Linked DNA regions of Struthio camelus. The protein of the gene in region 4 interacts with the protein of the main gene of each other region in a biochemical or structural test. Links are inferred from orthologs where the notes say so. Each region holds a gene or a part of one and is shown on either strand. Other genes may lie near its edges. The genes, in order: TICRR, ATRIP, RHNO1 and TOPBP1.

What was found.
Region 1: the proteins of TOPBP1 (region 4) and TICRR form a complex in vitro, tested with the Homo sapiens proteins (2 studies listed by BioGRID). The link is inferred for Struthio camelus from reciprocal best matches to the Homo sapiens genes TOPBP1 and TICRR.
Region 2: the proteins of TOPBP1 (region 4) and ATRIP form a complex in vitro, tested with the Homo sapiens proteins (2 studies listed by BioGRID). The link is inferred for Struthio camelus from reciprocal best matches to the Homo sapiens genes TOPBP1 and ATRIP.
Region 3: the proteins of TOPBP1 (region 4) and RHNO1 form a complex in vitro, tested with the Homo sapiens proteins (2 studies listed by BioGRID). The link is inferred for Struthio camelus from reciprocal best matches to the Homo sapiens genes TOPBP1 and RHNO1.

Annotation. Positions count from the first base shown.
Region 1 is NC_090953.1:9,976,138-9,983,467, forward strand, and holds the start of TICRR (treslin), read left to right. Parts: upstream 1-4,319; 5' UTR 4,320-4,353; coding exon 4,354-5,010; intron 5,011-5,584; coding exon 5,585-5,867; intron 5,868-6,457; coding exon 6,458-6,699; intron 6,700-6,951; coding exon 6,952-7,195; intron 7,196-7,330.
Region 2 is NC_090955.1:22,012,211-22,019,828, reverse strand, and holds the start of ATRIP (ATR-interacting protein), read right to left. Parts: upstream 3,004-7,618; coding exon 2,598-3,003; intron 1,896-2,597; coding exon 1,813-1,895; intron 250-1,812; coding exon 79-249; intron 1-78. Other genes in the region: protein BTG1-like, read left to right, coding at 3,368-3,478, 5,278-5,329. UniProt on the Homo sapiens protein: Required for checkpoint signaling after DNA damage. Required for ATR expression, possibly by stabilizing the protein.
Region 3 is NC_090942.1:88,361,074-88,368,459, forward strand, and holds the start of RHNO1 (RAD9, HUS1, RAD1-interacting nuclear orphan protein 1), read right to left. Parts: upstream 3,007-7,386; 5' UTR 2,942-3,006; exon of another isoform or gene 2,750-2,941; intron 1,522-2,749; 5' UTR 1,421-1,521; coding exon 1,253-1,420; intron 364-1,252; exon of another isoform or gene 1-363. Other genes in the region: FOXM1 (forkhead box protein M1), read left to right, coding at 4,949-5,498, 6,566-6,714, 6,934-7,158. UniProt on the Homo sapiens protein: Involved in microhomology-mediated end-joining (MMEJ) DNA repair by promoting recruitment of polymerase theta (POLQ) to DNA damage sites during mitosis.
Region 4 is NC_090943.1:50,368,645-50,375,793, reverse strand, and holds the start of TOPBP1 (DNA topoisomerase 2-binding protein 1), read left to right. Parts: upstream 1-4,140; 5' UTR 4,141-4,213; exon of another isoform or gene 4,214-4,367; intron 4,368-4,552; 5' UTR 4,553-4,559; coding exon 4,560-4,640; intron 4,641-5,466; coding exon 5,467-5,601; intron 5,602-6,177; coding exon 6,178-6,321; intron 6,322-7,110; coding exon 7,111-7,149. Other genes in the region: C-C chemokine receptor type 5, read left to right, coding at 1-95. UniProt on the Homo sapiens protein: Scaffold protein that acts as a key protein-protein adapter in DNA replication and DNA repair. Composed of multiple BRCT domains, which specifically recognize and bind phosphorylated proteins, bringing proteins together into functional combinations.

The DNA.
Region 1 (7,330 bases), on a different chromosome or scaffold from region 4:
GGAAAGAGCAGCTCCTAGTGACACTTTGCTGGGAAATTCCCATGTCCCGAGTCTGTTTTCTGTTCCCAGGCAGTCCCTGATAAGGCAGGTTTTGGTCACACTCTGCTAAGTGTCCTCTGCAGGCTACTGGGACAGGGCGCAGGCTGCAAGCTGCTGGATGGATGCCAGCTGCAGGAGCATGAATGGCTTAGCTCTTTTTGAGGGCTTGTACTCTTAAGGGGTTTACTTACAAGGAGCAGCAGCAAGAGCAACACCTCAGACAGGACAGACGGGCCCAGGGCAACTGAAGGACCTGTGGCTCAGCCTGCCAAGAGCGTTCATCTTCAGGTCCCACTGAGAGCTCCCAGGCTGGGCTGAGCCAAGGCTCTGTCCCCCACAAACCCTTTTGTGCAGTGTTACTGTGTAAATGAGGCTACTCCTGGAGTACCTCCATGGCTCCCGGCTGGTGTGACATACCACCAGTGGAAGGAGCAGCATTATCTCTGGAAAGACCAATAAGTAGCTTCAGAGTGGTTGATGGCACCTGCCTGAGCTTTGATTCCTTCCAATTGTCAACCCTACAGCCTCTATCCTTCCTCCCGCTCAGCAGGTCTTTGGCCAGGACAGAGCTCTCCTCTGACGTTCACCCCAACATGAAACAGGACTGGGGCTGCAGCACTGTATCCACCCACAAAAAGGACTGCACACAGGCAGGGTTTTGCTCCTCTCTGATTCAAAGATCAAGAGGGAAGAGGGCAAGTATACCCAGAGAGATCTCACCAGAATGACTTGAATGATATGATGTTGATTGTGATACGTTGTTTACCTGGAGGGACTACAGGAGCCAGGATCAGAAATAGCACATCAGAACAGTTAGCGTATGAAGGAACAGAGTCAGGACGTGATCTTCTCCCCTTGTTGTTTCCTCCCATTTCCACCGAGGAGTAACCTGCAGTACAGAGAGAAGCAGCGACACAGTAGGACCCCATTTTTTCAGGCAGTTATTTACACCATAACAAAGTGTGCAAGGGCACTAATCTGATCTGCAGTATTTTACACCTGCCTTGCAGGGTGTGGAGCACAAGAAAGAATCAGGTCCAGCAAAGGAGTGGTAGAAACAGGACTGAACTGAGATGCCTTCGTTCACAGTCCTTTGTTGAGGTTGGGCCTTTTGCATCGACCCCACACCTACATATCTATACTATGCAAGGTCTAATAGAGTCTATCGATTGGTTGTAGACGCAGCCCAGTCCCTCCTGTCACACCAGGGCTCCCTGAAGAGTCAGTGTCATTCAAACCGCAGATTCCCCACCACCCCTTTTAGCCAGGGAGACCCGGTGTCCTTCCCTTGCTCTTGGGTGGCAAGTTTCTCCTACTTACTTGAGCGGATCAGCCCCTAGTTCTAGCCCATTAAATCTGTTTGCGCTCACAGTTCCTAATAAATCCGAATGGCCACTTTATTGCCCACTTATCTTTGTTGCTTTATAAATACGACTGGCTGCTGGTGACACTAGTTTATGCTGGGGCATTCAAGCTCCGTAGAGAAGGGTGGCGTAGGTATCTGGACAGCTCTGGTCTGCAGGGCTTTCTCTTGTTTTCTCAGTGTGATCCATCAACATTTGGGTCACACCCAGACTGCTAAATACCCACAGGGCAAGATGTGTTCCAAGACCCACAAGTGGGCCACGTCTAGGGGGCAAGCTAGCTGAACAAAACACATGTTTCTTCTGTCCTCACCCTGACTTCAGCCCCCTGTACACACACTCCAACCCTACTCCTTTTCATCCAGCCCTGATTCCAGAAGCTCTACCCTCTCCTTTCATATTGATTTCCATTCCCTCCTCACACTCCTCTGTCGTCTCTATTCACCCAGCTTCCAGCTGGCCCCAGTCACCCCATCTCGTGTGTGTTTTGTTTCTTCCAGCTCCAGCTAGTGCTGCCCCTGCTGTGGCTTTCTTCAGCTGGTAGCTGTGCCCCCCACTCTGCTCCTCTCCGACGCCCTCGAGAGCCCTGCTCCTCTGCTTTCTTGTCATGCTCCCTTTCTGGGTCCTGGTGTCTAGGTCTCACTTTCTCTCACCTCATGTTCTCAGCTACCTCAGGTTAGCAGGAGATGTACTGATTCCAAAAGCAGGTTAGGTAAAGAAAGGTCCATCAGGACATTTTATGTAAGAAAGGGGCACAATGTCTGGCTCAAGCAGTCTCTGAAGAACAGACTGCTGGAGTGGGAAGTTAAACTTAGACAAGCATCTCTTCTCATGAACCAACTGCTCTCTTAGCTGGGATCCTGAGCTAGACGGATGGTTGCGTTGCCCCAGTGTGGACCTTGTGTTGGCCTCAGTATTCCCTGGGCAGGCTCAAATATGAGGAAAAGCTCTGGAGTGGCATCTCTGCCTAGGAATGGCCTGCCTGTACCAGCCTGGGTCTGTAGGACTTTCAGGGGAGCTGGGCAGGGCTCCTGCCATACCTAGTCTCTTGTCCTCTCCACTTGGTCTCAAGCAAGGAGGGGAGCTGCTCAGCAGCCTACCAATAGCCAGCATCCTCTGTGCAGCTCCAGGTGGGAAGCTTGATGGAAGCTGCAGAGGACCAGTTTTTGTACCAGTATTGACCTCTAGTGGCAAGCAGAACCTGGATTCATGAGCAGTCAGCGTATCTCAGCATCATGCTCCAGTTCCAGAGCATGGAGCTGGCTTGGGCCCAGCCTGGCCAGCACAAACCCAGAGCTATGGATCCCTGTCAGACCTGCACTGCCCACTGCAGGGCCACTCCAGGCCTCTGCGCCTTGTGCCTTAACCTGCTTGTAGGGGAAGGGAATTGGTTCAGCCACAGGATGATTTTTGGTACATAACTGCTAGGATTGGGGCTGCTGGTCACGATGAATCACATCACCTAGGAGAAGGTGACTGATCTCAGCCACTCAGGAGTGTCTACAGGAATATAGGCACAACCAAGGAGAAATTGCTTCTCTGTCATGCAAAGAAACCCAGAATCCAGAAGACACATACTGACGTGAATGATATGTATAAAGAGCAGCAAACACAAGGTATGTGACTCTGCAATCAGACAAGCCCTGGCTTGAGGAACAGTTCTTAAAACAAGAAACAGCCACAAGCTTTAAAAGCAACCTGAAACCAGAAAAGCTCATTACTGAGAAACATCTAATAAGATATCATATAGTAATCTCACCCGCTGAGGAGTTGAGGTCACCCCCCCCCCCCCCCAAACTTTCACTCCAGGAAGTGCATTTTAATATCTCATTACGGTAGCTTTAGTATGTTTTATTTGCTTTTATTATTGAAAAAGGACATCACCTCTACTGCAAGATAGTTGTGATAGTCTTTGTATCCCTGACTTGATATCATCTGAACTGACTCCAAGCTTCAAGCATCCAAAAAATATGTATGTGGTCCTCCCAAAAAATTATTGTGACTTCAGAAGGTTTTCCAGTATCACTTCTTTCTATGTGGCTCCTAGAGGGTCACCTTTTACAAGTCTGTCCACCGAAACCTGAAAGACGTGCCGTAAAACCACGAGCATCCACAGGCCGCAGAAGCAAGGAATCTCCACGTGCCGGAGCGCTGTAAGGTCCAAGCGGTTTTTTCAAGGGGTTCACGCTAGTGAATAGAGGGGTGTCTCCACGTCCCTGAAAGGGACAGGACCGGTACCGGCCACAGACCACTTATGGCTGAAGGAAAGTGGCTTCTGACTGCTGCAGGAGCTCGATTCTGAAAGGGGTTTTCACTGGAGACAAACATTTTCGACAGGTCTAGACCAGCGCTCAATTACAGCTCGACTAGGCCTGCACAGGCAGCGCTGGAGTCGCCATTAGGCTCGGAGACCCTGACTACCACACTGATGTGATGGCGATGACAACAGCGTGGCGTCACATCTTTAAAGCCCAATGAGAGCGAGGCAAGGAAATGACATCACCGCCACGCTCCCCCTTCCGCCTTTAAATTTTAAATTCTCAGCGGCGGCCAATCAGCTGGCTCCTGCGGCTGGCCCCGCCCCCTTCTCCGCGCGTCATGGAACGTCGCGCTCCCCTCCCACACGGGGTCCGGCCAATCATCGAAGAGCACCGCCCGGAAAGCCAGCGCCGCCCCGCCCTTTTGCCCGAGCTTTCCCCTGCGGGCGCCAGCGCGGGCGGGGCGGCGGGCCAATGGGGAGCGGCGCGGGAGGGGGCGGGCCGCGAGGTGCGAGCCAATGAGGGCGCGAGGCGGTCGAGCGCGCCAGCAGTCGGAGCGGGCGGGCGGCGATGGCGGCGGGCGGGCTCTGAGCGGCGCGCGGCGGTGGCGGGCAGCTGTTGGGCTGGCGCGCGGCGGGGCGCCGCTGTGAGGCGGCCGTTGGCGGCGGGGGGGAGGGGGGCGGCCGGCCGCCATGTCGTGCTCCCACAGCGTGGTGTTCCTGCTGGACACGGCCAGCCCGGCGCGGCGGGAGCGGATCCAGCTCGGCGCCCTGCGGCTCCTCAACCACCTGGGCTGCCGCCTCGGCCTGTCCCGCCTCCGCTGGGCCTTCAGGTTCTTCGACTCGCTGGGGGGCCGCGGCGGGGCCTCGCGGGGCGGCGGCGGCTTCCGCCCGCCGGGGCCCCGCGCTTGGGCCCGCTTCGAGGAGGAGCTGGCGGCGCGGCTCGGGGCGCGGGGGCCCGGCGCCGCCTTGCCCGGCCCGGCGCCGCGCGCCGCCCTCACCCACAACGGCCTCAAGGAGACGCTCCTCGATTACCAGTGGGACCGCCCCGAGATCGCCTCCCCCGCCAAGCCCCTGCGCCGGAGCCGCAGGACGGGGCTGGCCGCCGCCGAGCCCCCCGAGAGCCTGCCGCCCCCCGAGGGCTTCGTGAACGCCGTCTTCCTCTTCTCCCCCTGCCCCCACTCCCGGAGGGAGCTGCGGCAGTTCGTGTCTGGCAGCGACGCCCCTTCCCCTTGTGAGCCGCCCACGGCTCAGGAGCTGGCTGAGAAACTCTTGCCCAAGAGAGTCCAGGAGCTGATTGCAGACCAGAAGATCACGCTGTACTGGGTGGACACTGCCGAGTGGTCTAAGGTAATCGGAGAATGCTGCATACCTTTGCATTGCTGGTGATAGTGAACTGTCTTCCTCAATTACTTCCCACTTAAGAAGGGAGAGTTTGCAGTTTTATGCTGTAATCTTCAAGTGGAAAGAAGAGAGGTCAGGGTCTCCAATAACTACCAAGTAATCCTGTTTAGCAAGAGGCCAACAACTGGAACGGTAGTTATCCCTGTAGGGATTAAGATATATCAGCGACTGACTGACTGCAAAGTGTTTACTAAAGGGTTGTCTTGTGCTTTGAGTTAGGTAGGAGTTATAGCTGTTCAGGACTGTGAATAAGCAGACTGGCAGTTCAGTTATCTAGATACTAAATTCAGGAATCTGTGCTTGAAGATACTGGCTACCTCTTAATTCAATGGGCATGGTATTTTCCTTTCTGTGTTCCTATGAGGGCTACTTTAGTCCATAAAAACACTTGGTAAATGTTTGAATTGCTTTATATGCATTTCATATGCCGGTTCCTATACAGGCCTGTAATCTATATTCGTTGTTTGGATAGAGTTCACTGCCGAAATTAACTTGAGACCTGTCTGCTGCTTTATTGCAGTTACTTGAATCTCCAGATCATGTTGGATACTGGACGATGTTTGAACTGATCCACCAGACGGGAGGCACCATTTTGTCGTCAGAGATCTTACTGCAATGTTTGAGTCATCACGGAGCAGATCGTGCTCGCTTTCTTAGAGATTCCAGTTCCTCTGTGTCACAGTTCGTGCCATGGACTGCGCTTCTGCCCTTGGACTCCACCTTGAACTTCTTGTTTTCAAAGGCCTCTGCCTTCCAAGCAGTATTCCCCCAGCAAGAAGGGACATTGTTTCTCAGCATGCATGGTAATAAAAAGCGGTAGTTAGGCATGCATAGAAATAACTCTGATTTCTCATGCAGGATCCTGATGTGTTTCCCTTGTGAACAGTATGCATAGAGGTAACTTGAGATATTTAAGAGCCTAAGTGTATATTTAAAAAAAAAATAAAAGTCCTGAATGTGCTGCAGTGCCTCTCCTAGGAGAGCTATTGGCCCATATTCCAGACTTGATCTCTTCAGTTTTCCATTTTTCTCAGAAGTCTGGTTGTATGAACAGTTCTCTGTTGATCCCAGCTTAGTGTATGCTGTTTTCTTCTATATGCTTTATCTCAGCTACTTTAATTCACTTCATTTAAACAGGTAAATGACAAACACCTTCAAAAGTGATTAGATCAGCTGTAAAGGAGCATGCAGTGCATGTTGTCTCTTTCTTTGGTGGTCCCTTAATGCACTTGGCTCCTTTATGAGAGCTCGGGGAGGTCAGTTGTGTAATACATTTACTGCAGAGCTACTCTCAGTTTAATCTCAGAATTTATTTTTCTTGCATTGAAGTTGTCTCTTCATTCAGATGAAAATTGTTTTGCGTGTTATAGAATTTTTTTTTAACCTTACATAGGAGAAGAGAAGCAGGAAAGCTGTGTGGTGATTCTGGAACCCCTAGCCATGAGCCAAAGACAAGCACAGCATCCAGTCAATATCTTCCTGAAAGGTACCCTGACAGGTTGGAATTTGATGCAGGCTAGCAACTTTCTCACAGAGAGCTGGATATTGCGGAGCTCCCAGGCTGAACAAGCGGAACAAAACAGGTCACTGTTTCATCAGCTTTTAAGGACTCTAGTGACTGAAGAACTACACATGGTAAGTCTTTCTGTTTGCCCTGAACCAATATCTGTTCTGAAATGGGCTGTTACCAAAAAATGACAGTCTTGTGTGTCATGCTCTGAAGACAGTAATAGTGGTATTTGTTGCATTGTGGATTGCTCATTTGGGTCTAAATTCAGAACCCTCTTTAGAAAATCAAGCAAGCTTATAACCTATTTGTAAACTGTGTACTACCTGAGGCCTCTGGGTATTACTAGGTAATATAAACATCCCTTTCTTTTTATGTAGGTTGCTGAGGTGTCTCTGTCCAGAACTTCATGCCCCTGCACTGCTGTTTTATCACCGCTTGCTGAGAGTACTGCAGTTCTGATTATATTCTGTTCTGAGAAGGCAGCTGAAATTCAGCGATGTAACCTTGAAGGAGATGTAGTGGAGAGCTCTTCCCAAGACCATACCCTTCACCTCCCGGATATTGTTAGTAGTGTGCTGAGTAAGATTGACACATCAGTGGAAGAGTCTCTGGCTAGTTCTGGTAGGCACTGGGAAATACAAAACTTATCTCCTTCTAATCATCTGTAGATCTGATTTTGGGGCAGAGGACACTAAAGCTAATGATTTCCTCAGTAATGAGAGTGATTTAGGTGCTTGTTTGTTTTGTCTCTTATAG
Region 2 (7,618 bases), on a different chromosome or scaffold from region 4:
TAAATGGCCTGTGACATCATTGAAGTCATAAAACTACCGTCTGCATGTGATGTACAGATAACTAATACAATTACAAACCTTTCTGGAGAACTCTTTTTCTTTTTCACTTAGGGTCTGAGATTTTTCCTGTTCTAATAGCATATATGATTTTTTCTGTTCCTCCATAGCACACTCCATCTGCAGCATTGAGTCTCGCAAAATTTTAATTTCTCCATTTTTAGTACGAATTTCATCTTGCATTTCTTTCAGCTGCAAACAGATGAATTCCATTAGATCATGTCTATAAGCAGAAGTATGGATGTGTATCATCATCTCTGTGGTTGAAAGTTAAGCGTATTTATACTTTCTACAGAGAAAACACTTCCATAACCTAGTCCAGACATTCTGCAGTGTTGCTTCTAATCTGTTTCTGAATAAATCAGGCTCAACTACTGTTTTCTCTAATTGAATTATAAAATGACAGCAAAGGTATATGTTCCTATACCATCCTGACTGGTGTCTGAGAGCGTTCTCCTCCTCCTCCGCGACTAAACTCTTTCTTTGAAAAGTACTCTAGTCACGCAACAATCTATTTACTGTTTGGATGAGAACGATGATAAACTAACTATAATATCTCATCTAAAATGGCACCCAAAAAGCATGCTGTCCTAAGACAAACTACCGCCCCCAGACAGTATCTTCATGACATGCATGCTCTCCAATATTGTCTGAATAGACATCATCGCTCAGAAAAAGGACTAGAATAGAGGCAGCTATTCAGAAAAGCACGAAGAACAATGAAGACAGATACATTTAACCACAATATAAAAACATGTTTTACCCCTATATTGAACATGGTGTGCAGATAGGATCTTCCCCAATAAAGAAGGATATAAAAGAAACTGGAAAAGATTCAGAAAACTGAGGCAAGGATGACGAAAGTAGAAACCTTCTGTCTAGGAGAAGACACAATTGTGAAGAAACAAAGGTCTATCAAAGTGCGAGCGCTACACAAAAGTTATTCCTTGTTCACTGCCTCTCATAATAGCCAAGATACATCCACTGAAAATCACTAGGTGTGAACTTCAAAATAAAATCAAAGGAGAAATTTCCTGACACAACACGTTGTTAGGCTGCAGACCTCTTTGACGCTAGGAGTTTCTTTGGGCTTAAAAAAAAAAAAGCACCACACAAGTGTTTTAAAAAATACACCAAAGGATACTAAACACATGTATACAACTTCTGGATCAGGTTAACTACATCTGGATAACTACATGAAATTTTACCAGAGGATAAAACAACATTCTGCTAAAATATCACTATAAACTTGCTCAGGTCTTCTATTCTTCCTAAGCTGTCTGCCAAAGAAAGGATGGAGCTGGTATGGCTACTTGTATGTTCTTACTTCTCTGCATCTATTTCTTCCCTGTAGTAGCTTTCCATGAGGCATCAGGAGGTAAAGCAACATAATGAAATTTAAGTATGACTTTCTCAAATCTTTCAGTTTCACAAAACTACTTTTGCTGACCAGCTCAATGAACAAATAGAGGAGAACAGATCTGACAGAAAACAATTAGAACTGACAAATCAGCGTATGCTAATCTGAAACAAACAAGAAATAGAATATTGCTCTCGCTCTTTACATTACTAGAGCTGGTTTTAGCACAATGCTTTTTATATATCAATGCATCATTTCAAAGATTACAAAACAACTTGATTAGAAAGAAATACTTGCAACCAAACTCATCTGGCCTTTCAATTAGCCATCTCAGAAGGATGTGATATTTGCCTTTATAGCAAGGAACCTAAAGGAGAAGAGAAGACATTGCTAACCTTTTGTTTAATTTCTTCATGCTGTGTTTGTAATACTTCAAACCGAAATGCATCTTTAATCAGATTGTCTTCTGAATTGCTTCCTGTTGCAGAAAAAATAGAAGCCTGAATGACGCACATCGCTGCTGATTTATCATCTCAAAATTTTGTTATTTGCCATCACACACACTTTTTAATATTTTGTCACTAAAAACAGTTAAATTGCACACACCTAATCATGACAGTAACTTGATTACTGCTTGTGCATGAATCTTTAAAACAGAAGGAAATCCTTCCCCTTGCAACCATTTCTAGTGTCTTAACATATGGGAATATATGCAAAACTACCACCTGACCCACGGTACCTGCAATTATTTCCTTCAAGGTAATTTAGTTATTGCAGCCTGCACGAGTAAGGGTTAGCAGATAACTTTTTGTTCTGGAGAGATTATAAATATTAGCAACGCTAACACTTACTTAGAGGATCTAAGTTCCCTCTACTGTATTTATGAACAAGGCACTGCCCTTTTTCAAAGCAAATCTGAAAATCAACTGTTAATATGAGATATATTAGGCATTTTCTAGTTAACGTTAACGGTTAGGAGTAAAAAAAAATCTGACAGCCAACATGCACGGCACTGCAAGCGGTACTCAAAGCAACAACTGCATTACCTCGGACCCAAGGCCAAGCCGGCACCAAGAGCGGACGCGGGGGAAGGCCAGCCGCCCCCATCACCACTGCATCCGCACCTCGGACCGCCCGCCCCCGCCGCCGCCCGCCCCAGACGCCCCCCAGGCGGACTGACCGGTCTCCTGGCCCGCGGCGGGGTCGCCGCCGCCCCGCCGCCTGCCCGCCGCCGGCTGCGGGCTGCCGTCACGCAGGGCAAAGGAGGCCCTCGCCCCCCGGGCGGGTTTGGGGGCGCCTGCCCCGGGCGCGGCGCCGGCCGGGCCGCCCTGCGACAGCGCCTGCGATGCAATGATGTCTATTTCCTCCAGGTCGTCGGCGGTGAAGTCGTCGTGGTCCCCGAAGGGGTCGGGCCCCGCCGCCGCCGCCGCCTCGCCGCTCTTGGGCCGCTTGTAAGGCGGGAGGCCGTTGTCCAGGCCGCCGCCGCCGCGGCCCGCCGGCCCGGGCGCCGAGCAGGGGGCGGCCCGCGCCGCGGCCGCGCCCCACAGCGCCGCGCTGCTCCTCTTCTTGCTCCCGAGCGCCGCCATGGCGGGGGCGCACGGCCGGCCCCGGCCCCGGCCCCGGCGCCTCGCGCAGGGCTTCGCCCCTCCCCCCGGCACACCGGCCGCCCCGCGCGTCCCGCGCCGCGCCGCCCGCCAATCACCGGCGGGCACGGCCGGCCCAGGACCAATGGCAGCACGCTGACGGCGCACCGGCCCTACCGCGGCCCCCGAGGGTCAAGCCAAGCCCGACCGCTCAGCGGCTGAGTGTAACCCGGCGATTGGTCCCGGCGGCGGGCGCCGTAAGCGCCTCGCTGATTGGTCGCGGGGCCGCGTGAGGCGGGCGGCCCTGCCCCGCCCCGCCCCTCCGCGGCGGCGGTTAAGGCTGCTGACGTCAGGCCGCGAGCAGGTGATGTCAGGGCAGACGGTGGGGGGAGCTGGCCTTGCGACGTCATACGGAGCGTTGCCGTGGTGTGGCAGTGAGGTCCCGCGAGGCGGTCGGGCCCCGTGTGGTGCAGCCCAGGTAGGCCACAGCGGTGCCGCTGCGGCCGGGCCGGCGGTGTCGTCGTCAGCCGCGGCTGGTGACGTCACGGCGCGGCCTGCCCGAGAGAGGCAGTGACGTCGCTGGGCGTCAGCGGCGCGCTCCTGCGCTGGCCGGGCGGCCGGCCGTTAGCCGGGCGGCCGGCTGTGTGGGGTTTCCGCCTCAGTGGCGGTGGCTGGTGTAACGGAAGAGCGGGGCCGCTGTAACGCGTGCGGAGCCGCCCGCCGCGAAGGACGGCGCTGCCGCGCTGGCCCGCGCTGGCGTCGCTGCAGAGGCGGGCGTCGGAGCGAGTTTTCGCTCGCCCTGCGGAGCCATGGGCAACCGTGCTGTTTAGTGGTCAGTCGCTTAACAGAGAAAACGGTCTCAGGAACGGGTTATTCTATTGTTTTGTTCCCCTGAGGTGGGCAAGATATTTGGAATTCACTTCTCTTTTCTCGTCGCTTTTGAGATAGTGGTGTCGGGAAAGTACAGTTTTTGCAGAAATTCTGTACAGAAAACTCGCCCTTAACTTGCTGGCGATGGTGTGCTTTTGCTGTTGTACCTTAGTCTGTTTTGACAAGCTGTATAAATGGGTTTGGAAAATATACTTTTCTGCTGATGCCAGCTGTGTGTAACTTAGGTAGGTGTGAGGTAGCAGCTATGCTGAGGAACCTTTAAGTGTAGGCTAGCACATAGTTCTGCAGCACATGTATAGAACAGGGTTAGTAATGCTTCTCAGTGTTACAAATCACTTGGTGGTCCCTAAGTGAAAAATACTGTGCTGTTAATATTGGGCACTTCTGATTCTGCAGGAGAACTCTGATTTCTCATTTTGATTTCCCTATTATTTCTCTCTATTTGCAGCAAACTGAAATTATCATCAAATTATAATTCCTTTTATGTATGTGCTGTTTTTGTGTCATCATCTGTTTAGGCAGCTTGCGATAACTTCTTAACACAAAAAGAAAGCTGTGATAAGCAGGATTCTCAGCTGTCCCCTCTCATCCCAACTTCTCTGCTGAAGTGATAGTAAAGAGAGCAGGACCCACAGGTGGTTCCTCTGAACTTAAGAGGGCAGGACAGCTGCTGCTTATCTGCAAAAAGTATACATGAAAAGGAGCAGTCTTGGAGGAAAATAGTTGTTGTGAAGATAAATTCTGTATCATTTTATTTCTGAGATATTGGTTTAAGGCCTTCTTGTTTCTGTAAGGAGTTGAGTTTTAGTAAGCTGTTTACTAAACTGGGAATATTATGGAGAGATTTAATTTTTTAAAATCATTAAGAGTATTCTTATTCACATCTGGAAACTTTTTTTTTGTACTGAGAATGTTTGCGTAATGCCTGGCTTTGAAGTCTAGCAATAAAGAAAGGTAGCTGCTGCTTTTAAGATAGGTTTTATTTGTTTGTGTTTAGTGAGAGACGCTCCTCATAGAGGAAGTAAAAACCAAAACTGCTTGCTTTATTTAAAACCTTTTCTTGCAAGGTCTAGTGACTGCTTGTCATATATGACTATGGCGACTTGTGTTAAGGACTTGATTTAAATCATGTGAAAGGAGCATGATTTATACTTAGTCTTAATGCTGTTCTTCATTTAGGTTTTCTCTGGGTAACTGAATAGGCTTATACTATTACTATTGTTTTTACTTTTAAATAACAATATATGATATTACTGATGTAGCTATTGTTTTACTTGTTCCTTTTCCTCTAGCTGAAGTTGAGGGAAAGTGGAGCAAAGAATACTTGCACGCAGTTTCTTTTCAAAAGGATGAACAAGATAATGGCTTTGCTTTTTTCTGTTCTAGGGATTCTTGCTAAAGATAAATGACACTGCAGGTGAACAGAATAACCAGAAAGGTAAGTCTGAGTTGATAGGCTAAAAAAAGCTTTGTGGAGGAGAGCTGTATGTATGGTAGTGGTAGTTCATCTACTATTCTCCGTGATGTGACTTTTCAACTTTCAAAGCCATAGAAGTCCTCTAGAAAACTGGAAAAAAAATGCATTTTTTGTTTTGTGTATGGGTGCTATTTAGAAGTTGTTTCTAATGAAAAATAAGGTATTTAAGTGGCTGCTACTAAATTGTGCTAATATAGTGTTTCCAAATTGCAGTTTAATTCTCAACTCCAGTGCTGTGTTGTTGGAGCCCCCAGTACCCTCTAAAATAGCCTGTTTATACACATGGTTGTTAGTTGAATAACTAGTGAATAACTATATTTTTTTCTTGATGAGCCCTTGTCAGTTTTTTTTTAATACTGCTGCATATAGAACTATTTTCTGGCAGGGAGATGGAAGTTGAATACTTACATGGGTGTTACTTTCTTTTGTTTTCTTTCTGTGGGATGCTTGACTTGAGTCTTAAATGTGAAACCCAGGAGAATGTTTTTTTAAAAAAACAACAACAAAAAAAAGGAAGTTGCAAGTTTAACATTGCTGTACAACTATAGCATTTTTTCCCCTTGTTACAACCAGACCTTCCTTCCTTCTTGTTTCACTTAAATGTTTCACTTGGGACTAGTGATCCCAATGCCAGACCTCTGCCTAATGAGTGTTAATCTGTTAGCAGTGTTACAACATGAATTTTTCAGTCTCTTGCCATATTTTCAGCTACTTTTCATTAGCTAGCTCAGAAAGCTTTTCTACCCTGATCTCTGCTTAACACAAAGTTAGTCTAGTTAACTTTCCAGTTAGTCAAAATCAGAGCTCGTAACATCAGTCCTAGCTTTAGTGGAACCTTGGCTGGCTGGCTGACTGCAGTAAAATAAGACTGTATATAATTTGGGAGCTGTGTTTGCCTGCATTTATATATGTAAACACAACTTGGAAAGGGGAAGCTGTTTAGTATAATCGTGAAGAAAGATAACTTAGAACTGTATAAATCCAGTCATTATTGCTGTTAACATCTTTTTTTTTAAAAAAAAGATGTTTAGTCTGAGCACCAGTAAGAGTTTCGTAACTTATTTCAATGCCAATGACATGTTTCTTTGTCCATGATTTTTTTTTAATGAATCTTGAAATAAGTCACTGTGGTCCTGTGTTTACCAGAATGCTGTCAAGGTATTGGAGGTTTTGGAGTCATGCTTATTACTTTGGAGTGTAGATATGGTATGGAAAGTCCAAATTTCCCTAATGGAAGAGATGTGATTAAGTTGGAAGTGTTTTGAATTGGTATCTTACAGAACATGCAAAATAAGCTTAGTTCCAGAGCTGGTCTTATGCCACTGATTGTTTGTTGCGCTGGAATAATATACATTTATATTTATTTTTATATAACATAAACTTGCGTAGACCAAGTGACATCTAAAGTAAGGTAGGCTTGTGCTCGCTTTCTTCTTATTGCCTTCTTGTAACTTGACTAAAGTGATCTTATCTGCTCATATGTACTGTGATATATTCCAGCTGTGCTAGGATAGCCTTACCAGTAAGTCTCCAAATGGAGAAGTGAATTGTTGTGTTCTGATTCTCAAAGCACTGACTAAAGAGTGAAGTAGTTGGATGACTGGTCATCTAGCAGAGATTAACTTAATTTCTAATGTTTGAGTCATTGAAATTCAAACTGGACAGCAGTGAAAATGTGTCCCAATTGACATCTTTATTCCAGATCTGACACTTGATTAGGAGAAGGCTAACAGCTGTGAGTGAAAGGAAAAAGAAGCACAAAAATCGATTGTCTATCTTGAAGAGGAGGTGAAATCTGAATTTCTGCTAGCATTTTTTTCTTGTGGGCTGAAAATCCCTTTAGTTAGGCTATAAAGTGGCCTACAGAATTACATTACAGCATTTATGAAGATGAAATATGATGGATAGGTTTGTCAAAAACCACTTTTTAAAATTCCAATCTGTGAAGTGGGCCTGTCGTACTAGGTCATAGTAAATGAGTTTTGGACGCACTTCTGTAGTTTTGTCACTCAGTACTCAATTCTTCAGTCTTGGTCCTGTTGCTTGCTATTACAGTAATATTGGTAGAGGAGAGGTAGGGCAGGGAGTCATAGTCATCTTACTTTTTTCTTGGTGTTACTTAATACTGCATGAATTTTCTTGTTGTCATACCATTTCTAATAGTTTTGTCAAATCAAATAGGAGTTTACTTTCTTGAGGCTTGTTTTCCATGCAATGAATAAGGGTGAAGAAGCTTTAATCGCAAATATA
Region 3 (7,386 bases), on a different chromosome or scaffold from region 4:
ATGAGCTACTAACCTTGAGATGTGACTTCCTGGCTTAGAGAACATGCAAGTTATGTTTTACCAGGAGAGGAGCCTAGCAGTCAAAAGCTTATGAAAGTCTTAATATACCCTCCAGATGAGCAGAAAATCTCAGTTGCCACTGAGACAAGTTCAAAGAAGATCTGCAGAGGATGCTTCAGGAAGTTGCAAACCTACCAGCATTCTCAAATGGAATAACATCTAGTAGTTTCGGTGCTGTTGGCTTCAAATACATTTTAGAATCATTGTACATTTAGAATTGAAGTACTAAGAGTGAGTGAGTGAATCATCTTCACCACATATGTTTATATATGTAGAAATAAAATTAAAAAGGAAAAAACTGAACATGTTCTGCTCTGAAGTTAAGACACCACAAAAATAATTCTAGGTCCCCAGGGCCAGAGGAATGTCTCTCATGGGTTTGAAACCATGCTTCTTGGAGCTGCTTTGTATAGAGCTTAGAGATCCAAGTAACAATAATAGAGCTGCCCAAAGCTATAGCTGTTGTTGCATGGGAACAGTGTCCATTTTTGCAGCAGCTGTTTGCTTAAAACTCTTCACATTACACAATATAATATAAAGCGTGTATTAGGACGGTGCAAGCAATCCCTGGAATATTCTGTCAAACCAGAAAAGGAACCCATTAGAATGGCTTGTTTGGAGAGAAACTGTTCAAAACACACAGAATGGAAAAAGACGACAAGTTAGGGAACGCAGACCTGCACTCCAGGATTATTTGTTCTAAATTTAGCATAGCACCAGAATACTTAAGCCTGATTTAAATGAAAAGCCTAGTACTTTAACATCTAACATTTAGAGGTCAGGAATTATGTCAAGCAGTTAGAAGGAGGTGGAGGGGAACAGCACCTTGGAATAATGTTTTATCATGTTCAGGATTTTCAGTTGCCATATAAAGCAGAAAGTATTCTCATGAAAGTTAGTCTTTTGGAAGACAATTAGTAATAGTTGATCGGTATACACTGTACAGTTTTATGCTTTCAAATAACCAAGACATCACTGGTTGTTTGTGACAAGAACATGAAGCAACTCAAAAAGCACTTATTTATGTTTTGGACAACTATAATGAATGCAGGTCCTTGCTATTGATTTTCAGTATCTGGGACAGATAGCTTGCCTTTTTTTTTTTTTTTTTTTTTTTTTTTTTTTGAGATATGCAAGAGAATCTTGAAAACCATTTTGGCAGGACACAAAGGGAAAGATAATCTATACCAACCCAGGCAGGAGAGGTGTTTTGGTCTATAGGTTTGGTAGGAACACGTCTTGGATTCTCAGCCAAAGGTAGTGGAGATTCATAGGAATGGATAGGTCCCTCTTGCGGCCTCTCAAGGAATACCAGCTCTGCTTTCCTGGCCTTGTGGGTACATTTCTTCTTTGGAGGCATCAAGAGGTATAGTAAAACCACTTAGAAACCTCATGATGCTTGTTAGTATCAATTGGAGAAAGAGGAAGGCACCCCAAGAAGATGCTAAAGTGCTCTCAAATCTGTAGAAGGCAAATAAATGGATTTTAAGATAAGTTTGTCTGGAAACCTCAAATCTAATTTTTAACAGAAGTAAAGCCTTTATGCCACAGTACCATGTTCATATCTCTATGTAAACTCCACATTTACATCAGTAGATTTTAACCTTCTAGCTGATTTCATGTAGATTTAGCAAAAACACAATATGATAGATAATTAAAAGCCTTCCAGCTTTCTGGCTACCATGAAAGCAGGTAGCCAGATACAGTGGGAGAGCGAGACAGGCAAAAAACATAGGAATGCTCCAACTGCAAAAGGAATTCTAAACTGGCATTTTAAGCAAGACTTGGCATTATTGGGAAAATTAGTTTCTTATGGAAATATGCATTTTAGATACACAAATCAGATATCCTTATGTGAGTTTAAGGTTTTTCCTTCATTAAAAACTTTTGAAAGAAATTGATAAAGAAGGACATCAGGCCTGACTTAAACACTGAAATATAAGAACAACTGTATTCAGAACAGGCTTAGTCACTGAAATTTTAAGGAAATTCAAACCACTAAGCTGCTAGAAAAATAACAAACAAACATGAATGAATTTGTTGGACTACTGAACCAGCTCTCCAGAGGATTTAAAGAAATAATTTATTCACATAAGTATTCTATCCAGTTTAGTCATATCTGAAAAATGGTTTAGGAATTGAGAGTCCAAAAAATTTCTTTTCCTTTTTCAATTCATGAATAAAACTGCTTTGCAAGGCTGCAATCTACTAGTCTAAATTTAGGAAGGACCAGAAGCCTTTCCATTTCTAGTTGCTAGCTACCTCTATTTTTTCCATTTCAAGAATTTATTTTTTTTTTTTAACTCAGAACATAAATTGCTATTTCCCTGATGTATTCTACATATTTTGCATAGTTTTATTTACTTAGTGAAAAACTCTACATAGAATTTTAATTTGCATTCAAGAGCAGATTAGCACAGGTGAAGAAGTTTAAAGAGAACATTTTCTGAGAAATGCATTTTCTGATTAACGCATAAAAGGCTATACAACAACTTAATTCTTTAGCAGACTTTAGCAAAAGCTGTACATCCTCTTTAGTGGATTTCATACACTTCACTAACAAGGCAGTTTTAATATCTGTTGACCAACAAAACTCAGCTGCCCTTCACAAAGCACCCTTTAAGGCAAACTACTGAAGTCAGTGCTTTCTGTACAGCAGTAGGTACCAGGGCATCACACAGGGACTCACAGCCTCACAAGGACCTGATCAGGAAGAGTTTCCACCCATTCCCACGCCGGTTCCCCTTCAGACCCGCGCCGAGCACTGAGAAGGCTCCTCCAGCACCCGCTGAGCAACCATCCCGGGGGAGGGGAACCCCCACCATAGCGCCTCCATCCCGGGCCGCACCAAGAGCGAGGCCCGCCGCGGACGCAGACCCACCAACACGTAAAGCAGACACAACCACAACGCCCCGCGGACTCCCGGCACATCCGTATCCCCCGCCGCGACCGCCGATTGGCCCGCGGCGCCCCGCCCCTCGCAGGCCTGCATCTCATTGGGCCAGACTGGCACGTGATGCCAACGAGCCGCCAGGCGCCAAATTCAAACCGGGAAACGACCTGCGCCGCGAGCGGTAGCGGAGCCCGGAAGCGTCTGCGTTGCCTCTTCCCTCTACGTCTTCTTGGCTGGGAAGCTGGTGAGTGGCGATCTGTACCCAGCACCCATCGCGCCCCTCTGATATCTCCTCGTGCGGACTGGAGGTAGTGGCTGGGCACCCATGTGAGGGCTGTGTTAAGTGCTCAGGGTGCCTGGTGTGAGGGAAAGGCCTGGGCCTGGGCCTGGGCCTAGGCATGTCAGGGCGCTGGTGGAAGGGTTCTGGGGGAGGCAGCCCAGATTCACCAGTGAGTGTGGCAGGCTTGGCAGCACCCCACGGTCTGGGAGGGAAGGATGGGGGATGGAGAGGGCTGATCCTAGGGAGAAAAAAGAGCTGGGGATGTGTGTTTGGCCCTTTAGTGCTCCTCTCCTTACTGCCCCCATGGGCCTGTGCATACAACAGGGTTTCTCCAGGGCCTCTACTAGTAGCAGCTTGGGGCCTTTTTAGGAAATGACTTGCTTTTGTAGGTATTCATCCTGTTGGAAACTGGCTAAAAGTTATACGTCCATTTTTGTTTTGTGGGATCTCTGTTTAAAGGAGTGGAGCAGATTGCGAGGGGGCCTGTTGTGTACTTGGGTGACATGACCTCTGTGTAATGCTGAGTATTTCTGCTGGTGGTCTCCAGCTGCTGGGCAGCCTCTGATCCCAGGCTGTCCACTGCCAGCACACCAGGTAGCAACTCAGATTTTATCTGTTGGGCTTTTTCCCTTTTGTAGCTGTGCAAGTGATTCTTACTGAGAATTTTCTTGTTTCCTGCCTGGCTGAATCAAATCCACCAATACAGAATGACATCTTTTCTTTCTGTTTCTATTCTGCCTATGATTCCAAATGATCAATAATCAATACAATGTGCATGCTGTTGTTCTTTTATAGTTTGCCACAAGAGACAACCTCTGCCTAATTCTTGATTGGCATGATATTTGTCAGTGGTGTTCTCAAAAGGGCCACACAGCATCTTACCCTGAAATCAGTGTCTCTGAATTTGAAGTACTCCCTTGTCCTGTCCTCTTCCTGCCATTCTAAAATTTATGTGTTTTGTATGTATGTTTTTTGTCCAGAAGGTTGAAATTAAAATGGTACGCTGCTCTGAGATGAATATTTTTCTAGTTCTTAACAAGCCTACAAAAGGAATGGCCAAAGCATTTAGTCTGAATTTATTTTAAAGGACTTCTCACTTCGGGTGTGTTTATTGTGTGACTTTGTAGTGTCCAGGAGACAATCTCCAGAGAGATCTTTGCTTTCTAGATTTTATACCGTCTGTTAAATCCCCTTTTCTCTCAGGCTGTGTGATCTGATGATTACAGCAATGAGATATGAGAGTGAGGACTGTTTGTCAGTGGTGTTCTGTGATTTCTGTTTGAGCTTCTCTTCCCTCCAGCTTGCTGACTGATTCTGAATAAGTCATTTGACAACTAAGTCTTGAGGTGTAAGGCACATCTTGTATCTGTAAGGCACACAGGCATACTTTTGTCATTATTATGTACTCTATGGCTCTCAACTTCTGATGCAAATTATCTGCTTTGCAAATATCTCTCCTGTCCTGTTTATACAAGGTGTGGATAAAGGAAGTGCAGTGCTGTTTTCCAGCAGTTTTGTGAATCTTCTTAAAAGCATTCATTGTTGATTCCTTTCTTGTTTCTAGATTCATAGCAATCGCTGAGAATGTGTGTGCAGCCCCTGGTGAATTGCTGCACCTTTCCTAACTGTTCCTTCCCTTCACACTCTTACCTTGCATCCTTTGTTTTGCAGGATTTGTTCTTCTTTTCAATGGAGAGTGACTGCAGAGATCAATAATGAGCACCAGCCCTCGCAGGCCCTTAATTCTCAAAAGACGGAAACTGACCCTCCCACAGAATGATGCATCCAGTACTTCAGCAAGAGATGAGCCCAGTAGTCAGGGTAAAAAGACTCCTAAGCAGGAGTATAGCCAAGGGAACCAACACAGCAACGAACCCAGACACAAAATGGACTGTGGCCTGCAGAAATTCCCAGCAGGAATAAAGATCGTCAACCATCCTACTATGCCCAACACACAAGTGGTGGCCATCCCTACAAGTGCTGATATCCAGAGCATCATTGAGGCACTGACAGCGAAAGGAAAAGAATGTGGCAGCAATGGGCCCAACAAGTTCATTCTCATTAGCAGTGGGGGCCCCTCTCGTTCAGCAGATCCAGCAGCGTCACAGCATCTCCCATCAGAACAGAAAGCCAGTACAGCGCTCAAGGTGGCACATGGTTGGGAACGAGAGAAGAATGTTATCCAGACCCCTGGTTTGGCAGGAGGGACAGCACTCTGGCACTCAGGAATTGACTCCGTGGTCGGGCAGGAACAGGAAGGCAACGGTATGTAGTCTTTACTCTTTTCTTGTCCTGCCATGTAGAGAGTGAGACCTGAAGCGTGCCAATGAGTGTAGTGTCCAATTATCAGGATGCAATAGTGAAAACTATTCAGTTAACTACAAAATAATTGATATGCATTAGCTATTTGTATGTAGTGAATCCTGAAGGATCTTAATGGATATATTTTTGTACAAGAGACAGGCCTGGCGTACCAAGGTGCATATAGTAGAGCAAAATTTTAGTGCTGGGGAAGAAAGAGGATTCGGTTTGAGGAAATCAAGACTAGAAGAACAAAATGCTAAGTTCCATTTAGCAAAAGGTTTATGGCTGGAATCAAGACTAGCATAGAGCATTCTAATCAGCAACAAAACACAGGGGCCTAGAGCTCTGAAGCAGAGATGATTTCCCTTCCTTTAATAACTGTGTGGCAAGTCTCTTTCCTTCTTGGCTTTTTCATGAAACTTCAGGGCAAATGCTAGAAGTGGGATGGATTTTGAGTGGCTGCTCAGATCAAATGTGTGTTTACAACTTAAAAAAAACAAAAGCTTTGCTGCTTTGGGGCTGTAACAAATCTTATCCCATGGTATAGTACTGTCTACCATTACACATAGGCAGCTCCAGTAACTATATTGCTACAAATAGCCTCACCAGAAACAGTAAGACCATATCTGTTAGTTTTCATCACTGCTGCTCAAAAATCTGCAGATATCTGAGCTTATGCTACCACGTTTCTTGGCCTCTGCCTATCAGATTTATCCTTTAGCTAAAAATACTTGAATTTTCAAAGTACTTCAGTCAACATTGTCCTATTTTTGGTTGAGAGCAATAGTTTGGTTTCAGTGGGGATTTTAGGACTGCAGCTTTTTTTCAGGAATTGGGCAGATTCACATGAAATCAAGAATTTAAGATATCTCCACAAGATACTATCTTTGCAATACTGTCTTGTCCCTATCCTGAGACAGAGATACCTTTTTGGGAAGAGTGGCCAGGCCTTCCTTTTGGCACTTGGGATTAAAGGGGAAGAGTGTTACTCATGAGTAAACAGAGCTATGGGCTTGTTATCCCAACAGGCAGCAGTGAGGCAGCTAGCTCTATATTGGATAATAGTCTCACTAACATCCAATGGCTGGGGAAGATGAGATCTGATGGACTAAGCCCATGTTCCGTGAAGCAGGAAACAGAGAAAGAGAACCGAATACCTCTGCAGGAAAGAATCAAGGTAAGCAGGAGGAGACAACAGAGCATACACTAAAACTATTGATAGGGAAGCAATGCATGTGGATTAGAAGACTTGAAAGAACCAGGCATGACCATCTCTAAGTAACCTGAGATTCCCCTTTACTGATTTGAATAGCAGGACCTGGAGGATCCATGGGTGTTCCATGGCCCTTCTCCTTGGCTTTGCAAGCCCTCATATATTGTTCCTTCTGTCTCTCAGACTGAAGAAGATTCTGCTGCTACCGTTCCTACTTCCTCCTCTTCCTCCTCCTCCTCCTCCTCCTGGCAGGATTCAGTATCAGAACGACCCCCTTACTCCTACATGGCCATGATCCAGTTTGCCATCAACAGCACTGAGAAGAAGCGTATGACTCTGAAGGACATCTATACCTGGATTGAGGATCACTTCCCTTATTTTAAACATGTGGCTAAGCCAGGTTGGAAGGTAACATGCAGACCCTCAAGTTGCTGTGGGCCACAGGGTGATAATATCATAAGGCTTTTGGATGAAAATGAAAAGTCGTTCCGCAGCCTGCAGAGCATAATGGAAATTAATTTAAACACCTCCCACCCCAAATGCCCTCTCATTCCAGATGTCCGTGTTCCACTTCCAATATCCTTTTTTCTCATGCCACATAGGAAAGGTGGTGGGATGCTTGATCACTGAAGTAAG
Region 4 (7,149 bases):
AATATTGTCCAGTTTTCTATGCTGACACAGCTGAACGGGCTAGCTCCACCTACACACAGTCCACTGGAGAGCAAGAAGTTTCTGCTGCATTGTAAACTGTGTCTAGTGAAAAAGTGGAATTAACTTTTGTGAAATCAGTTCTGTGAAAGAAGCCTCGAAAGCTGTTGTCTGGATATTGTCTCTAAGGTGGCCACAGAAGAACACGGCACATACGCCTACCAAACCTTGTACTTGTTCATTCATATGGGTATTTGTACATAAATGAAAAGGATGGATCAAATTAGCTAGCTGGATATGCAAATGTAGGATTCTGCAAGGAAAGAAGTATTCTCTTTTTTTGTGAAAGTAAAAGCATAGCTTTATCCTGAAGGACCTAAAACTCCCAAAGACTGGAGGCTTTCTCTGTACACTAAGCTAGCAGGCTCATACACAGAATTTTTGAATTAATTCAAAAGGAGGTTAGAAATCGATACTGGTTCTTTGGAAACATCTCTTGACTGGACCTTACACAAGATATCTCACTCATTTAAACTCAGTGTCAGCTCCACGCTTTACCAGCCTAATTGTGTACTTGTGCAGATAACGCTAAATTATGGAGGTCTGTGATATAGAATCTTTAGAAGGGATAAGGGAAAATGTTATATATTTAAAAGAGCTTCTAATATTTCAAGGTATTGTTTCATTGTGTACAGTCAAGTACCAATATTTTGGGTCTTTTCTCATGTTAGTCTTAACTATTCGATGTCAATACCTAAGTTACTCAAGAGTTTGGGTATTTCAGGAGGCTCTCTCAATCAATTGCTGTTTTATATGTTACTCATATTGAAAAGCTAATCAAATATACAATGGACTAACGTTGATCAGCAAAGCAATGTGTTTGCAACATTTAAACATTACAGTATTACACATGGAGCTTTAACTAGGGTAGATCAAATGTGTACTATCAGTCAATAGGGTTTTGTTTTTTTCAGTGCAGTGATTTTTTTGCCATTTTGCTAACCAGCATAGTTATAGGGAAAAACTTAAAATATGAAATTAATGCAGTGGTAGTGGCTGCAAAAACACAACAGCATTAGAGGTGTGGAAACGTTTTCTAAATAGGGTTGACCCAGATGTTTACAGAGATAAGCATATGCCATGAATTTTTAAGTTATCAAAACATAGGAACAAGTGAAAGAATTCACTGATCCACAAAGTCAAGGGGCACTTCCTGGTTTTACAAGTAGGTATCATTTGGGGGCTACCAAAAATGATACGACCATTTTTATGCCATTTGGTAGTTTTAAAGATAATAAAAGCTTTCTTAATTAGTAAGATTGACGGCCATCTATGACTGGGCTTTTGCTAAAGGTCAGATCCTGCAGAGCACTTGAACACACAGAAAAATTGAAGAATGGGGATACTAACGTGCTTAAGGTCATACCTTATCTGCACGATTACTTGATTCATGCCAAACTGTCCTTCCTAGTGTTTGTTACATTTCCCCTAAGACACTTGGTTTTGGCCAACTCTGGAAATAGAAATATAAAAAAACAATGTTCTGATTGCTGTTCTTATCTGGTAGGGTTATTTCTGTTTCCCAGCTCCTCTAAATATCCTTTTAGATAATATTTCCAAATAAGCAAATGTTTCCAACAGCCCCAAAGAAATCTTACACTGCTAAGTGCTTGTGAAAACAGGAAGTGCAATAGGGAAATCTTTGCTCATCAGACCACTTGTTTCAAGTTATTCTATCGTATTAAGCACCACTTTTGGACTACATCCACATGGGAAGTATAAGAAAATTATACTATGTCTTCTAATTCACAGTCGTTAGAGATGCACATCCTTTTTTAAGGCATTGTTGCATCAGTCACCTTCTGGACTTTGTATATGCTTTTAAAACAGGTAACTATATCACTATAAGTAGAAATCAGGTAATTTCAGCATAAAATGCAAAATATATGCATTTCATTTTTAAAGGGATAGGAAGCTACATGCAGTAACTTTTGTCAGGCTGGCTTTTTTTTTTCTTCTAGATCACATTTATGAAAATCTTTTTGTGATTTATTCTGTTCTCGACAAAATCATTCATTTGGACCCCAAGGCACACTGCCTTTAAGAAATTATTTTCTAGGTTTCAGTGCCATACACAGTACATAACCATCCCTGCAGAAGAAAAGGACAATCAAACACGGAAGAGGAGAGGGGCATGCTTTTTTGAGAGGTGTATCAAAGAAGAGCCCTGATCCTTTGCAGTATTATCTCCTATAGCAAGAATCTTTCCAAGTGACAAGCAACTTCCAAGAGGCAAAGTTGGAACTTTGAGAGTTTTGTGGTCCAGTGGATCAGCGGTGAACGAGCAGCTCTCAAGAGTTTCTATTACTTCACTTCACTGAGAAGGGACCATGCTTCAGCAAGCGAGAACAAGCTGCTCACTGTAGTAAGCAGGGAACCATGCTTCGAGGGGACATATCAAATAAGTGCTCAGTAACACTGCTGGTACATTGAATTAAGGACTCTGCCAACAGACTGTAATAATATTTTGTATTATACAATCCATTAAAGTTGGTTGACTTTTGTGTGTTAGATTTCTTGATCCTCTCTCTTCCCCTCTGCCCTCTTCTTTTTGATAGCCCAATAGAATTAAAAAAGAAAGAAGAAATTCCTCTTTATAGCAGGTTGCTATAATGCTGAAAAAGCAGGCAGAAAAAAATGAGAGTTTAACAACTGGACAAAGAACCAACATCATCAGATAACACATGACCATCAAGACATGATCCCTGTGCTTAACTGCTTGTCACTAGTTGTCTATTAAATAGCCTATTTTGGTTGATACTACACTTGTTTTTGTTTATTTTTACACACGGAAGAGGTTTAGCCCATAACTCACTCTGACCCTAAGAGGATGAATACTAAGTGTTTTAAAATACATAAGCATAGGAAAGAGTTTTAAAGATGTTTAGTATCTATCCCAAGGCACTGAAGAGATAACCTCCAACAATTAGACTTGCACACACGCTTACTCAGAGTCCCTTCAGTTTTTAACATTACGGTGCCATCATGTGGCCACACTGTAAGGTTTCATACTGCCACTTAAAAGACTCGCTTTCATCAGTGGTTTTGGTGTTCTTCCTCTCCCAAAACTTTTTTCTTCTCAAGATGCTCTTCTATCGAAATGACTTCCTCCACTACAGGCAGCATGAATATTACACAGACAGCAGCAAGCCTTAGAAAACACTCAGAGCACCTAGGACTAGCGGCCTGCCGGAGAAGTGGGCATTGCCAGCTTCTGATGATTCAGGCAGTTGAAAGATACGGGAGAACAATACAGAACGATACGGGAGGAGTGAAGCTCGATTAGCTTCTGAACAAGTTTTCCACATGCTCATGCTGTCCTCTGCTCCAGAAGGCGTGCACCTCAAATTCCTATGCATAGCTTGGAAGTCACAGGAACGAAACAGAACACCCTCTCTACGCTCTTTCCCCCGGAAGCACAACTTAGATGGCACTGGGATGAGCACGCTTCCAACCTTTCTCAGCCCTCCTGGCAGCTGCCGTACTTCCCCCGCCGCTCTCAAGCACAAGGTGGCAGCACCAGCACCCTAAGGCTTTTCAGAGCGAACAGAGTGACGGCCTGACCCTCTCTGGAGGGCAGATGCCAGGCATGGGCCAGGCTAGGGCTAGGGAAGCCGCCTTTGCTACCACCTCTTATGGCAGTAACCGTTCCCCGAGCAGCGGGAAGAGGCCTCCTCCAGCTGTCCCTGGCGTGAACCAGAGGGGACAGCAGCGCAGAGCGCTCCTTGGCTAGACAGCACGGATAAACAACCAGGCTGCGGGGCCGGCAGAGGCCGAGGCTGCGGCCCTCCACAGAGGCCAGGCAGCGGGAGCCGGGCAGCGCCTCAGCAACCCCAAGGGCCAGCGGGGGCGCTGCCCCTCCGCGGCGCCAGTGGGGGCGGCGGGGCCGCCACGGCGCGGGGCGCGCGAGGCAGCCGGCCCCCTCCCCTCAGCCGCCACAGGGCGGCGGCGGCGACACAGCCCACACCCGCGCCCGTCCGGCAACACCACCAACGGCCGGCCCGCGTGGGCACGTGACGCCGCGCAACGGCCGCCGCCGCTCCTCCCCTCCGGCGGCGCGTGCGCCTCCACCCCCCCGCCGCCCCGCCCGGGCTCCATGTTGCGCCTGCGCGGTGCGGGGCTCGGCGCTTCCCGCCAGCCGCGCAGGCGGCCCGGGGTGGGTGACGGGCGGCGGCGGCGGCCCGCAACGGCGGGGCGGCAGCGCCGAGCGAGCCGGCCTTCGGGGAGCGCTTGGGGCGGCGGTAGTGCCAGTGGCCTGCGTGAGGCGGGGGAGGGGAGGCTCTGTGGGGAAGGGGCTGCCCCCTGCGGAGGTTGGTGGCGCTGCCGAGGCTGGGCGGTGCGGGGCCGGGCCGCGGTGCGGGGCCGGGCCGAGGCGGTTTGCGCAGCTCCTGCGGCGGGGGTGGGGAAGGTGTTGGCGGCTGCTGGCTGCAGGCGTTAGGTGTCTCTCCGGACGAAGGTGGCAGAGTCATGAAACCTGTGTGGTTTTGCTTTCCAGTTAAAGGATGAAAGGTAGTAAGGAGCCGTTCTTTGTGAAGTTCATAAAGTCTTCTGGAAACTCGGAGTTTTTTTTTAAAGCTCTTGAGGTAGGTGGGTTTGATGACCTTTCTCAGTGAGGTTGCCGTATTTATTTTCTATGTAAGCGTCTTCTGTGGTTGTCTCGGGATGTAGTGCGTTTGTACGCATCTGTAGATAACACATTTCAGTGATAGAGATGCTCAGTGTTGTTATTAAAGTTTGTTTTGCATGATTATTCCTAGATCAAGAAGCAATTCTTTTTCATTGTGTTTATTTATTACTTGTAATGTGATAGTTCCATTCAGAAAACTCTTCTACATCTTGTAGATTCTCACAGAAGAGGGATTCTGTGGGCCTAATGTCTTGCTAAAGGTACTGAGGAGCCTAAAATTTGGAGATCAGCTCTGCAAAGAGCAACTGTCCAGTACAGCAAATAGTACCATGGGAAGTACTATTTCTCTTGGAGGGGAGGAGGGAGTAAGGGGAGGGAGGAGTGAATAAACGGTTTTAGCCTCCTCTGAAAACCTCTTAACGTTTAATGAAGTAAACTGGAAGCTTGGCAAATCCAAATGGTGGTCACTCATCCAGACTACTGAAGATTTAGTAAGGACAGTTCATTTTTCTCCTCCTCCTGGAGGTTAGTGGGAGTTAAAGGCACTGTCTGGCAGGATGAGGTCCTGAAGGTTTGTGTGCTGAACATATAGTTCTGAATATTGTGAAGAATTGGGGAAAAAAAAACAGGAGATATCTTTAGCCTTCTTTTCTACTAATATGCTCTTATATAGTTTTGTTGTAAGCTCTTTTAAGTAGACAAGCTTTTGTAGTTTCCACAGGTTTAACTGTTTGTGATTTGTGAATTAAATAAGTGTAATTGTGTGCACTGTTTTCCTGCAGTCCATAAAAGAATTTCAGTCAGAAGAACATCTGCAGATCCTTGAAGAAGAAGCAGCGCTCAGTATAAACGAAAATGATAAATCCCTTTACATTTGCGATCCTTTTAGAGGCGTTGTTTTCAGTCATCTCAAAAAGGTCTGCTACTCATCAATTTACTTTTAACTATACTCTCTTTTGTAGGAATACTCTGTCTTTTGTAGGAATGCTCATGTCGATAATTATACTCTGCATGTTTTCTCTTTCTTTACTGAATATAGTAGTCCATAGTAAAAATTCCAATGCATTTGTATTTAGGGAAGAGGAGGGCTGACAAAGCGTAACAATCATCTTGAAGCAAATGGAAAAATAAATACAGTGATCAGTTCTGATTCTGCTGTAGTCAGTGAGCTGGCTCTCGCGTTTTTTTGCTTCCCCCAGTAATGTAATTTTGTTTGACCTCCAAGAAATAATGCCAGCAGACAAAGCTAGGCTCGCGAGAATTCTGTGGCATGTCAGCTGTAGCATCCACTGCCTTAACCAAGGCCAGAAAACGTGAGAGGATGGTACTGAGAATCTGCATCAGAAAATGAAAAAAAATGTTCAACTACTTGGAGCTGCTAAAGGAGGGCAGACAATGACCTCTCCTTCCCCAGTGTTCTGGGACAAGGAAAGCTTTGTTTATACCGGTGTGTCTTTCTGCTAATCTTTGTTTTTTCTTTGATTTTACCGCAGCTCGGTTGTAGAATTGTTGGACCACAGGCAGTCCTATATTGTATGCAGTCCCAGCGATGCGTCCCAAGAGCTGAATATCCTGTGTATAACATGACCATGGCCGATGTAACAGTATCCTGTACCAGCCTTGAAAAAGATGTTAGGGTAATGGCCCATAATGGTTGTTCAGCTAATTTTTCTGTGACATTTGCTTCAGATGGCTTATTGCTAAGCCAATAGTCTTACTATATAACGTAAAAGTCTGCCTGTTTTTATATATAGGCTCTGTAGATGGTGTGTAAATTTTTGTATATAGGCTTACTATATATATGGTATGTATACATGTCTTTGTAGTGTGTATATGTACATTTATGTTACATAAGAATGCATATAAAATTGTAAGACATTAGTCTTGCTACTGTAGGATTAATTGTATGTTTTAGGGATTCTATTAGCTGACTTCATCTTTAGGTGGATCACTTAGCTTGCTAGTTTGTCTGTGGCTGTCATGCTGCAGACAAAGTACTCTATTTCTGGTTACTCAAACTACACGGTAAAGATTTAATATCTAGTCAGCCGTGGTTTATCTCAAGTAGTTTAATTCACGTCCTTCATTGTAAAAGTTTCCTTTTTATTTATTCCAACATCTATTTCTAATTTATACTACCTAAAATGCCAACCATCAGTACATTTTCACTGATATAATATGGTTGTAGCCTCTTTATTAAGGGTATCTTTTATATTCAGCTTATCAAGAATAAAATGGAGTTAATGTCTGGTATTTTTAATGGCTTCCCGAAATATTGATTTTTTGGATTTCCAAACAGATTTTTAGGAGAAACCATAGAGATTTGAAATTGACGGGGTTCTGTTTGTTTGTTTTTTAAGGTGAGCCTGCATATGATGTAGGTTCTTTTTGCTTGAAGATTTTCTATAGTTTCTTTTCCCACCCAGGAAGAAGTTCATAAATATGTGCAGATGATGGGTGGACGT